3 linked regions of the Callithrix jacchus genome follow. The protein of the gene in region 1 binds, or shares a complex with, the protein of each later gene. Links are inferred from orthologs where the notes say so. Each region holds a gene or a part of one and is shown in the gene's direction. Other genes may lie near its edges.

Region 1 (4,163 bases):
CCTGTAAACCCAGCACTTTGGGAGGCCGAGGTGGGCAGATCACCTGAGGTCAGGAGTTCGAGACCACCCTGGCCAACATGGTGAAAACCCATCTCTATTAAAAATACAAAAATCAGCCAGATGTGGTGGTGGGTGCCTGTAATTCTAGCTACTCAGAGGCTGAGGCCGGAGAATTGCTTGAACCCAGGGAACAGATGTTGCAGTGAGCTAAATTTGCTCCACTCCGTCTCAAAACAAAAACAAAAACAAACTACGGGTTTGTTTCGAGACAGGGTCTCGCTCTGTCACCCAGGCTGGAGAGCAGTGGCATGATCTCGGCTCGCTGCAACCTCGACCTCCCAGGCTCCAGCGATCCTCCCGCCTTGGCCTCCCAAAGCACTGGAAGTGTGAGCCAACGCGCCTGGCCTAAAAGCGTTTTAATCTGTCCACTGAATTGTTGCCCCCAACAAACTTTGTACGAAGACAATTACAGAAGCTGGGCCAAGGCCGAGCTTTTAGTGGAGAAGGGGTTTTGTCATGTTGGCCAGGTTGGTCTTGAACTCCTGGCCTCAGGTGATCTGCCCACCTCAGTCTCCCAAAATGCCGGAATTACAGACATGAGCCCCCATGCCCAGCCTGGATAATTCTTAAGGGCCCTTCTAGGACCAAAGTTCTGGGAGTTTCTAGCTTATTCTGCCCCCTCGTAGCCCTTGGCCTGTTTCTCTTTATCCACATGCAGAAACATCTGGCAGCCCCACATGGCTGAGTTGACCTGGGTCTAGTATGCCCTTGGACGGAAGACTAGCCTACCTAGCAGGTGACCTGGATTTTTCTTCCTGATCTGCTGCTTCCAAGTTGTATGACCTTGGCTAAGTCACTTCACTTTTCTGACTGTCACTTCGCTTTTTTTTTTTTTTTTTTTTTTGAGACGGAGTTTCGCTCTTGTTACCCAGGCTGGAGTGCAATGGCACGATCTTGGCTCACTGTAACTTCCGCCTCCTGGGTTCAGGCAATTCTCCCGCCTCAGCCTCCTGAGTAGCTGGGATTACAGGCATGCGCCACCATGCCCAGCTATTTTTTTTGTATTTTTAGTAGAGACGGGGGTTTCACCATGTTGACCAGGATGGTCTCGATCTCTTGACCTCGTGATCCACCCGCCTCGGCCTCCCAAAGTGCTGGTATTACAGGCGTGAGCCACCGCGCCCGGCCCCACTTCGCTTTTTAATGAAGTGTATCTGGTGAACAAGAAACGTTGTTAAAACACATGACTCACCATTCAAGAGATGGGTCTGACCATTCCCTTTCTCAGACTCAGACCCCAGGAGGGCTCTTGGCGCGCAACTGAGGCTGCGCGGGCTTAGGGGCGGGGCGTGGTGACGCGACTGCCGGAAGCGGGTCTGGAGCTGGCGAGGCTGGGAGAGCAGAAGAACGCGGTGCAGTGCGGGCCGCCTAGTAGGGGCAAGCCAGTCATGGAGGATGAGCGGAGCTTTTCGGATATCTGCGGCGGCCGCCTGGCCCTGCAGCGCCGCTACTACTCCCCGTCCTGCCGGGAGTTCTGCCTCAGCTGCCCTCGGCTCTCGCTGCGTTCGCTTACGGCTGTCACCTGCACGGTGTGGCTGGCGGCCTACGGACTCTTCAGCCTCTGCGAGGTAATGGCTGGTCGGCCCCTCCGCTCTCTCGGAGGAGGGGGTTCGGCTTTGGGAGAGTCTCTGGGGTCTTTGATCGAGCCCAGATCTCTGGTTGGCCCCTCCTACAGTGGTAGGACCAGAGGGCGGGAACTCACGGGTTTTGGGGACGCCACTCCGATGCTGGACAGCTCTTTAAATGATGTTTGGTGAATGTGTGCTCCTGGAAAGTACATTTCCCCTCTGTGTCTGTGCTCTGCTCGGTGGGTTCACCCAGCATACATCTAGTTCTTGCACGATGGTCTAAAACTTTAATTTCCACGTGTTCTATGTAATATAGGCGCGTAGTAATTTAATTCCAAGAGTTCAGGGAAGTAAGTGGGTCTTCCTCGTCTATCACTTCTGCTCCTCAAAGGCAGTGCTGCTAACAATACCTTATGTAGTTTTCCACAAACTGTCTTTGCCTCCACAGTGTACACTTGTGTAGCTGTGTGTATAAATATAGTGTTATCGTTCTTCCTAATCTGTTTTTCAATACAGTTTAACCCTCCCTCCTCCCAAACTCTCCCCCAATTTTAAGTACTTTCTAAAGGATTTTGAAATTTTGGATGTGTGTGGTATCTGTGCTCAATTTCCAGATTCATTCCTGTTTTCTCTGAGCCTCAATTTTCTACATCTCTAAAATAGAATTAATGCCTGCCATACCAGCTTCATGATATTGTGAGGGTTAAATGCAGTAACTTTATAACAGTTCTCAAATAAAAAGAATTATCCTAATTGCCTTTTCAGGCTGAGTTCTAGTTTCATATGTAGTGCCTGAGTTGGATGTATTATCCCTGAAGTGATCTGATCGGAGTTAAGTACAGCAGGGCTATTTATTTCTGTAACTTGGATATTGTTTCCATTACTGCATCCATTAGCTTTTTTTTGCTGTCAAAGCATATTTCACAGTATGGTAATTTAGCATAGAAATATGCAGAATTAAGACTGCCCTAATTGTAGTAAACTATCTAAAAGTCTGTTCAGTCAGGGTGCAGTAGCTCATGCCTGTAATCTAGCACTTTGGGAGGCTGAAGCAGGTGGATCACTTGAGGTCAGGAGTTCAAAACCAGCCTGGCCAACATGGTGAAACCGTGTCTCACTATGTATTTGTATTTTTATCACCATGTATTTTGTATTTGTAAAATACAAAAATTAGCTGGGTGTGGTGGCGCATGCCTGTAGTCCCAGATACTTGGGAGACCGAGGCAGGAGAATCACTTGAACCCAGGAGGCAGAGGTAACAGTGAGCGAAGATCGTGCCACTACACTCCAGCCTTGGCGACAGAGGAAGACTCTGTCTCAAAAAAAAAAAAAAATTTGTTCATAAGTCAGTTAAAATGATGATTAAATTGATTTGACAGCACCCCCAACATTTAAAATATAGTATAGTTGAATTTTAGTACTAGCCTGAGTTGTTATAGCCTATGTATGTGGTCATGTGAGGAGGAGGAGGAGGAAATAGATATTTATTAAATGCCCACTGAGTGCCGGATGCTTTACTAAATTCTTTACTTCAGCCTAGAATGAAGAAAACCAAGGCTTACAAAGAATAATGATTACCAAAAGTCTCAAAGCAGTAAATGGCAGATCTGGGCTTCAAACCCAGGGCTCTTTGACTCCAAGACCCTTTTTTTTCCTTTATACCATTGTATAGCTGATCTTAGGCAAAATTTAAAAACAAAAGCCTGCTTTTATGCCAGGTCCCCTCTGTACTTATGTCTCTTATCCTGGTGTACTCTGCTCACCCCTATCAAATGCCCGGGATTTAGTGACCTCATCTTCCTTTAAACTCTACTGCAACACTTCCTAAGGGCTCTGTGTGCCAAAATTTCTTACCTTTCCTATTCAAAACTTTATGAGAGTAGTGCATATCTGGAATGAGAAGAAATCTGATTGAAGGAATTCATTCAAACATACAGCTTAATACCAACTCAAATGAATATTGAATTGTTTGAATTCTATACAGAAAAATGAAGTAAAAAAATGCAGGTAGTAATGAAGTTTTAGGCATGGATTGCTTTCACTGGAAAACTGACGTGGATCAAATCCCTAAGGATTTACTGTCCTTAATCCCTTCATGTTTTTGAGTTCACAGTTCTATTAAAGTTCCAGGTTGTTCCCTTGTTTATTCCACCCTGGAATGTTCTTCTCCCTTCCCTTTCAACTAATTAGATTGGCCACTAACCACCACCTCCCCTGCACCAATTAAAATCCTATTTCCTTGGATGTGATGGGATATATTCTTGTGTGTTTTTATATCTTTTTCTTTCTTTTTTATTTAAAAAAAAAAAAAAACTTTTCCTTTGGTACTTGTAGTCAGTATCAGAGTATCCTCCAGAATATTTTCTATGTATTAATCTTGCCTTTAATAAATCTGTAAGGGTTAGGGCTGAATTGTATTCCTCTCCATTCTTCATAATGCTTATTCAGTGCAATTAATCTTAATTGCAAAATTAGATCTTTTTGGATCATCAGAGAACCAGTACTGAATCCTCCATTCATCAATCAACACATAGC
Region 2 (4,026 bases), on another chromosome or scaffold:
CATCTGAGAAACCCAGAATATTTCTACTTTTAAAGCACTTGACTTGGGTTTCCCAATGGATCAAATGTGCCCTCTGATAACTGTCCCCATCCCGTAAGACGAAATCATCTTCTGTAGACGTTTCATAAAACTTTTGCCTTCAGTGGCTGAGAGGTTACCTTCTGGGGAGGCTGAGCACTAATGGCTTGTTTACAAGGCTGGCCTCACTAAGCCAAGGAATCTTGTCAAATTTTTGAACAGAAGCCTAGAGGGAAATAGAGATCATGTTTACAGAATGTATCACTCTTGAGCATTGCTCTCATTATGATGGCCAAAGTCAGCTAACAGGAACCATATAGTAAACACTTTACAAAACATTTTTATATTTTATATTTAACTCTTTAGCCATCCCATAAAGCAACCAAGTGCAAATAGTGTCATCTCCATTTTACTGATGAAGAAATCAAAGGTCAGATAGTGTGATTTGACCTCAGTCATGGAGCTAGTAAATGGGTCATGTTTTCTAACTTTCGTTTCCAGTGTAACCTGTGTTTTACTACATCCCTTTGTTTCTTTATTACCTCCATCTGTTCATACATCCTTTAATATTTCCATGAACTCACTTGAATTAGCAGTCTTCTCCTCACCCCTCTTAGGAGGTAAAGAGGAGAAAAACCAAGCTTCGAAGCTATAGACAACTGGATATTGATCTCTGTTCATCTACTTCCCAGGTGCCTGTCTTTGGACAAATACAATTTATCTAAGCCTTAGATTTGTCCTCTTTGAGAGGGGAGATGATATAATCAGTGTAAAGATCAATGCACAAAAAAGAGAGTTTCATGAGAGCAGCAGTTTTTGTGTTTAGTTCAGGGCTGCATCGTGAGCATCACAAACAGGGCTTGCTACCTGCACGCATTCAGCCAGTATCTGTGGAATGAAGGCATGCAGGGAAGTCCCTAGCTGAGGGCCTGACTTAATAAAAGGAGCGCAACGGAAGTGGCCATTATCTCTCACCTACTGGCCCAGCCTCTTTTCCTGTCCCTCTCCTGCTTTACCCAGCCCTTCAGATGGCACATCCCGTTTTGCTGTAGGGGATTGTTGGGGATTTGCTTTCCTAAGTTTAGAGCGTTCGGGTTTAGGCCTATCTTCAGGAGGGGAGCCTGGCGGTCTCTGAGCAGCCAGGAGAGGGCAGCAGCCTCGGCGCGGTGGCTCAAGCTGGGGAAGGGCACCCTCGCGGAGGAGATAGCGGAGGACCCGGAAGTACTCGGCCACAGTCGCAGCCCCGGCACACCGGAGGGGGAAAAAGTCTGAGGGCCGCCGCCCCGCAGCTGCGCATCCCCAGGAATTCTCGGGCAGGTGGGTTCCACGTAATCGTGTGTTTCCGGGGCTCCTTCTCCTCTGCTGTCCCCCGCAGGCCTAAGGCTGGGTGAGGGGCGGCGGCGGGAGTGGGAGACCTGGAGAGTGATGGCACGCCCCTGGGGTCACCCTATCCTATCCTGTCCCCTCCCAACTCCACTTTGCCGGCGGGCGCTGCCCTTTTGGGCGCCGCAGACCCTCCAACCCCGGCGATAGCCTTGAAATTCCTGGGCTGGGATCCCCGCAGCGGAGAGAGGAATAATGGTGTCTGACTTGCCAAGCAGCACTTGTCTTCATGGAAGAAGTTAGGTCGGGCATTTATGAAATTATTTTCCTCTGATTTGCCAGATGGCTGTGGTGTTGCTGACTCTTAGTTTTCCCATTGTGAAAAAGGGATGATTATCTTCTTCGATCCTCGCAAGAGTTTCGCCGTTTTGAGTAGAATGATAGCTCTTTAAAGTATGCTAAGCTCAGCTAATGGAAGAAAAGTGTAGTTTCTTTGAGTCTTTGATTTTGGCTAAATAAACTGCAGCACTCGTATCTTTCTGTATAGTGCAGCTTACTATTTATTGTCTTTGGATCGGTAACTTAAAAAATATAAACAACATGCCTTTGAGAACCAATAAAAGCTATGGATATTTTCCCTATAAATTTACACAAATGCAGATATAAGCATGCAATGTGATATACCTGAGGGGTATGTGAACCAGAGAGTTATGAACTGGTTTAGAGGGAAATACAATGTGAGACACAGGCTTTGGGATAAGACTGGTTTGAACGCTGGCTCCGCCCTGTTACCTTACGGCAAAGTTACTTAAGCATTTTGAATCTCAGCTTTTTTACTAAAGCAGGACTAATACTAACTTGCAAGGTTGTGAGGATTAAGTGAAAGAAGATACATAAGGCACTTAGCACATAGTAGGCACTCAATAAGTGATAGCTAACAGATGCATATTATTATTCAAGGAATTACAATTTTCAAATCTGAAATGCAGTTTTAATATCCCAAATTGATAAGGTGACTACCAAATACATTTTGCTCAGACTTTTAGTAAACTGAATGATTTGGCTTTAACTCAGTACTACCCTTGACCTTTCACAACTTTCATAGGTTCACAGTCTCTCTTTTTCTAGGAACCTGGCTGTGTTGTCCTGCTTCAGAGACAAACTCATCTGTTGTAGGCCTAGCCTGGGTTGCTGCCTTTGAAAACAAGGAAAGTTCAGTAGAACATCAACCACAGCGTGGAATTTCCAGGGAGGTCTCATTTCAAAACTTCATAGAGAACAGGAACCACCCGGACTTCTGTGAGGGCAGTGATTAAACTGGCCTGAGTTTGAATGAAAGGATAATGTGTGCCCAACCTGTAACTAACACCAAGGAGGTCAAGTGGCAGAAGATCTTGTATGAGCGACAGCCCTTTCCAGATAACTATGTGGACCGGCGGTTCCTGGAAGAGCTTCGGAAAAACATCCACGCTCGGAAATACCAATATTGGGCTGTGGTATTTGAGTCCAGTGTGGTGATCCAACAGCTGTGCAGTGTTTGTGTTTTTGTAGTTATCTGGTGGTATATGGATGAGGGTCTTTTGGCCCCCCATTGGCTTTTTGGGGCTGGCCTGGCTTCTTCACTGATTGGGTATGTTTTGTTTGATCTCATTGATGGAGGTGAAGGGCGAAGGAAGAGTGGGCAGACACGGTGGGCTGACCTGAAGAGTGCCCTAGTCTTCATTACTTTCACTTATGGGTTTTCACCAGTGCTAAAGACCCTGACAGAGTCTGTCAGCACTGACACCATCTATGCCATGTCAGTCTTCATGCTGTTAGGCCATCTCATTTTTTTTGACTATGGTGCCAATGCTGCCATTGTATCCAGCACACTGTCCTTGAACATGGCCATCTTTGCTTCTGTATGCTTGGCATCACGCCTTCCCCGCTCCCTGCATGCCTTCATCATGGTGACATTTGCCATTCAGATCTTTGCCCTATGGCCCATGTTACAGAAGAAACTAAAGGCATGTACTCCCCGGAGCTATGTGGGGGTCACACTGATGTTTGCGTTTTCAGCCTTGGGAGGCCTACTGTCCATTAGTGCTGTGGGAGCCATACTCTTTGCCCTTCTGCTGGTATCTATCTCATGTCTCTGTCCATTCTACCTCATTCGCTTGCAGCTTTTTAAAGAAAACATTCATGGGCCTTGGGATGAAGCTGAAATCAAGGAAGACTTGTCCAGGTTCCTCAGCTAAATTAGGACATCCATTACATATTAAGGCAAGCTGACAGACTGGCCTCTTAACTAGTATAAAACTTGAAGACAGAGTTCCATTCTGGAAGCAGCATGTCATTGTGGTAAGAGAATAGAGATCAAAACAAAAAAATGAACCAAAGACTGAAAACAAGGAAAAGTAGGTAGAACATCAACCGCAGCATGGAATTTCCAGGGAGGTCTTATTTCAAAACTCCCTGGGTGGTAAGGGAGCTCATCCTTTCTATTATTTTGTGGATGAAAAAACTTTCTGGGGGTCTCTTGAATTACATACTGTAACATATGAAGTGATGTGGTTTCTATTAAAAAAAATAACACATTCATCAAGTTGTCTCATGATTTTTCCATAAATAGTAGGCAGACAGAAGAGCATGAAGAGTAAAGAGAGAATGTGTGTGTATATGTGTGTGTGTACGTAAAGTCACTTC
Region 3 (2,544 bases), on another chromosome or scaffold:
CATTTTCTGGACTCTGGCCCCGCAGGACCGGGAGACCGGAGGCCAGGGGAGCCGCGTCCCACATCTGCCCGACCACATCGCCAGACTACGGGAATGGCTTGAAGCGTTTTAGGTTCGCCACCGGCTGCGCAATGCAATCACCCGGGGACCGTTTTAAAAATGCCGATTCCCCGACAGCCCCCAAGACCAGCAGACTCGGAATGTCCGAGGGATGAGACCTGAACATTTGTATTTTTTTTTTTTTCTTTTTTCCTGTTAAGAGACAGGGTGCTCCTTACGTTGCCCAGGCTGGCCTAGAACTCCGGCTTCAGCCTCCTAAGGAGCTGGGGGATACAGGCGCCGCCCCCACTCCCAGCTTATTTGTGTGTTCTTAAACGACCCCGAAATGATTTCTAAGGTATAACCAGGTTTATGAACCACTGCGATTCAGGACAAGGCCAAAGCCTTCTGGTTTTTAAGCCAAGATGATGAAAAGTATTGTTGTACCCTCCAGATTCTTGTGAAGGTGTCGTGTACAACTGGTGCCTGACAATCTTAAGCATTTCACCTGTGTGTGCTGCCCAGTGGCTCTTAGTTGTGGACTAGCAGGTTTCGTAGAAACCTCTTTAACCTAGTTTTTGGGAAAACAGCTCTACAGTTTCCAAGCTACCAGAATTGAATATCAACAACATTAACACTAGTATTACAAATCGCATAAACTAAACACCAAAATGTTATCAGGGACTATCTTTGAATGGTAGATTGCTAGCAGTTTTTTCATATTTCTTTTTTTCCCATAATATTATTCAATTTTCTCAAACCTTGAAATTACTTGATTTGCCTTTATAACTAGCTCACCGCAGACTCACTGCTTTCCAGTGTTTTCTCATTTCTGCCCTCTCACCTTTTCCAGTTATTTCCTTCTAATGGATTAGTTAAGTTTCTCTATTTAGCATTTATTCTAAAATGAAGAAGTTGATTTTTCTCTAGTGTTTGTTCCAGTAGTAAATTTACAGAGATGGTTTGAGGGTTGACCGAAGTAGTGAAGGAATATTTGGGTAAGAGGGGGATCTTTTCTGACTACTATAAAAACGAAATTAAGGAATAACTTGTGAATAAGGCGAAAAAGAGAATATGAGAGAAACCGACTAAAATGGGAATAATTATAGATTCTAAGAGAATTTTTTTTAAGATAAAAGGTTGAATTGGCTATTGTTGCTTTTAGAATTGAAGAAGACTACTCTGGGATTAACTAACTCTATACCGAGAATTGGATAAATGGTGGTATTTGTTGAAAATCAGGCTCTTCAAGCATTTTATTTTTCACAATTCATTTTGTTCTTTTTTTTTTTCAACCTCAGATATGAAGCATCAACAAATGAATTGATTAATGAAGAATTGGGAATAGCTTATCCAATCATTGATGGGATTCCTAATATGATACCGCAGGCAGCTAGGATGACGCATCAAAGTAAGAAGCAAGAAGAACTGGAGCAGCGCTAGTTCATAATTAAAAAAAATAAAAAAAACCCAACAGCTGACTTTTCTTAATACCGTATACCTTTTAAAACATAGTGGAGGGTAATAATTGGAAGAGAAGAATGTTTATGTCTCTTCCTACGTTGACTGTTCTTATTCCACTGGTTTCTTTAGCAGGACTGTTCTACTCGGCCTCTGTGGAAGAAAACTTCCCACAGGGCTGCACTAGCACAGCCAGCCTTTGCTTTTACAGTTTGCTCTTGCCTATTTCCATACCAGTGTATGTATTCTTCCACCTTTGGACTTGGATGGGTATTAAACTCTTCAGGCATAATTGATGTAACTAGTGTCAATATGCTATATTTATTAATAATAGCTCTTGGGCATCTATCTCTGAAAGCTCAACTGGATGGAAGTTTGCAGGAAAGAGGCTTTGCTTTGTGTATATCAGGCTTAGGACTGTGGGAGACTTAAGTTGCAGATGCTTCTTTTGTTGTACTCTTGCTCTGCCCTTGTGTTTTGCAGGCTCTGACTTATAACTGCTGTATCAGAGAAAACATTTTGACAGTGTCTTGTTGGAGATGAACATCCCCAATTGTCATGTCATGAGTATTTCTTATTCTGTTCATCTAAAAGTTATTGAAATTTTGTTTTGCTTGTTTGTTAAGTTTAAGGTCTTTGGTAAAGTCACATGTTAGGAATGACTGAAATAATTCTAAAGGAGTGATGTTGAAATACTCTCTCTAAGGGAGACAAATGCATTTGAACAAGTGTGATATAAAACCATATCATCAAATAGAAATTTCAGGTACTTAACAGAAATTAAGTTTGTAAAATTACCTTCATTTCTTTGACATTAACTGCTTATATTAGCAATAAAGATGTTGACACTTTACCATAAAAGATGAAATAAACCAGTTTGCAGTAGTCATTTGTTTGGTCACAGAAGTGTGATTGATACAAAGGGAAGTTGTAAAACTGCACTAAACATAGGCTGTGTTTAGAGAGGTACTTCCTCTCTAGAATCATTTCCCAGGAAAGTGAGGGGTCGAAGACTTGCAAGTAGTAGTTTGTACCCTTTTGAGC

What was found. The genes of interacting proteins can lie anywhere in the genome.
Region 2: PIGH (region 1) and PIGC share a complex: the UniProt entries of both Homo sapiens proteins name them as parts of the glycosylphosphatidylinositol-N-acetylglucosaminyltransferase (GPI-GnT) complex. The link is inferred for Callithrix jacchus from reciprocal best matches to the Homo sapiens genes PIGH and PIGC.
Region 3: PIGH (region 1) and PIGY share a complex: the UniProt entries of both Homo sapiens proteins name them as parts of the glycosylphosphatidylinositol-N-acetylglucosaminyltransferase (GPI-GnT) complex. The link is inferred for Callithrix jacchus from reciprocal best matches to the Homo sapiens genes PIGH and PIGY.

Annotation. Positions count from the first base shown.
Region 1 is NC_133509.1:102,593,116-102,597,278, reverse strand, and holds the start of PIGH (phosphatidylinositol N-acetylglucosaminyltransferase subunit H), read left to right. Parts: upstream 1-1,363; 5' UTR 1,364-1,448; coding exon 1,449-1,628; intron 1,629-4,163. UniProt on the Homo sapiens protein: Part of the glycosylphosphatidylinositol-N-acetylglucosaminyltransferase (GPI-GnT) complex that catalyzes the transfer of N-acetylglucosamine from UDP-N-acetylglucosamine to phosphatidylinositol and participates in the first step of GPI biosynthesis.
Region 2 is NC_133519.1:30,306,165-30,310,190, forward strand, and holds PIGC (phosphatidylinositol N-acetylglucosaminyltransferase subunit C), read left to right. Parts: upstream 1-1,226; 5' UTR 1,227-1,335; exon of another isoform or gene 1,336-1,644; intron 1,645-2,446; 5' UTR 2,447-2,684; coding exon 2,685-3,578; 3' UTR 3,579-3,921; downstream 3,922-4,026. UniProt on the Homo sapiens protein: Part of the glycosylphosphatidylinositol-N-acetylglucosaminyltransferase (GPI-GnT) complex that catalyzes the transfer of N-acetylglucosamine from UDP-N-acetylglucosamine to phosphatidylinositol and participates in the first step of GPI biosynthesis.
Region 3 is NC_133504.1:109,148,143-109,150,686, forward strand, and holds PIGY (phosphatidylinositol N-acetylglucosaminyltransferase subunit Y), read left to right. Parts: upstream 1-1,482; 5' UTR 1,483-1,580; coding exon 1,581-1,796; 3' UTR 1,797-2,044; downstream 2,045-2,544. Other genes in the region: PYURF (protein preY, mitochondrial), read left to right, coding at 1,336-1,482. UniProt on the Homo sapiens protein: Part of the glycosylphosphatidylinositol-N-acetylglucosaminyltransferase (GPI-GnT) complex that catalyzes the transfer of N-acetylglucosamine from UDP-N-acetylglucosamine to phosphatidylinositol and participates in the first step of GPI biosynthesis.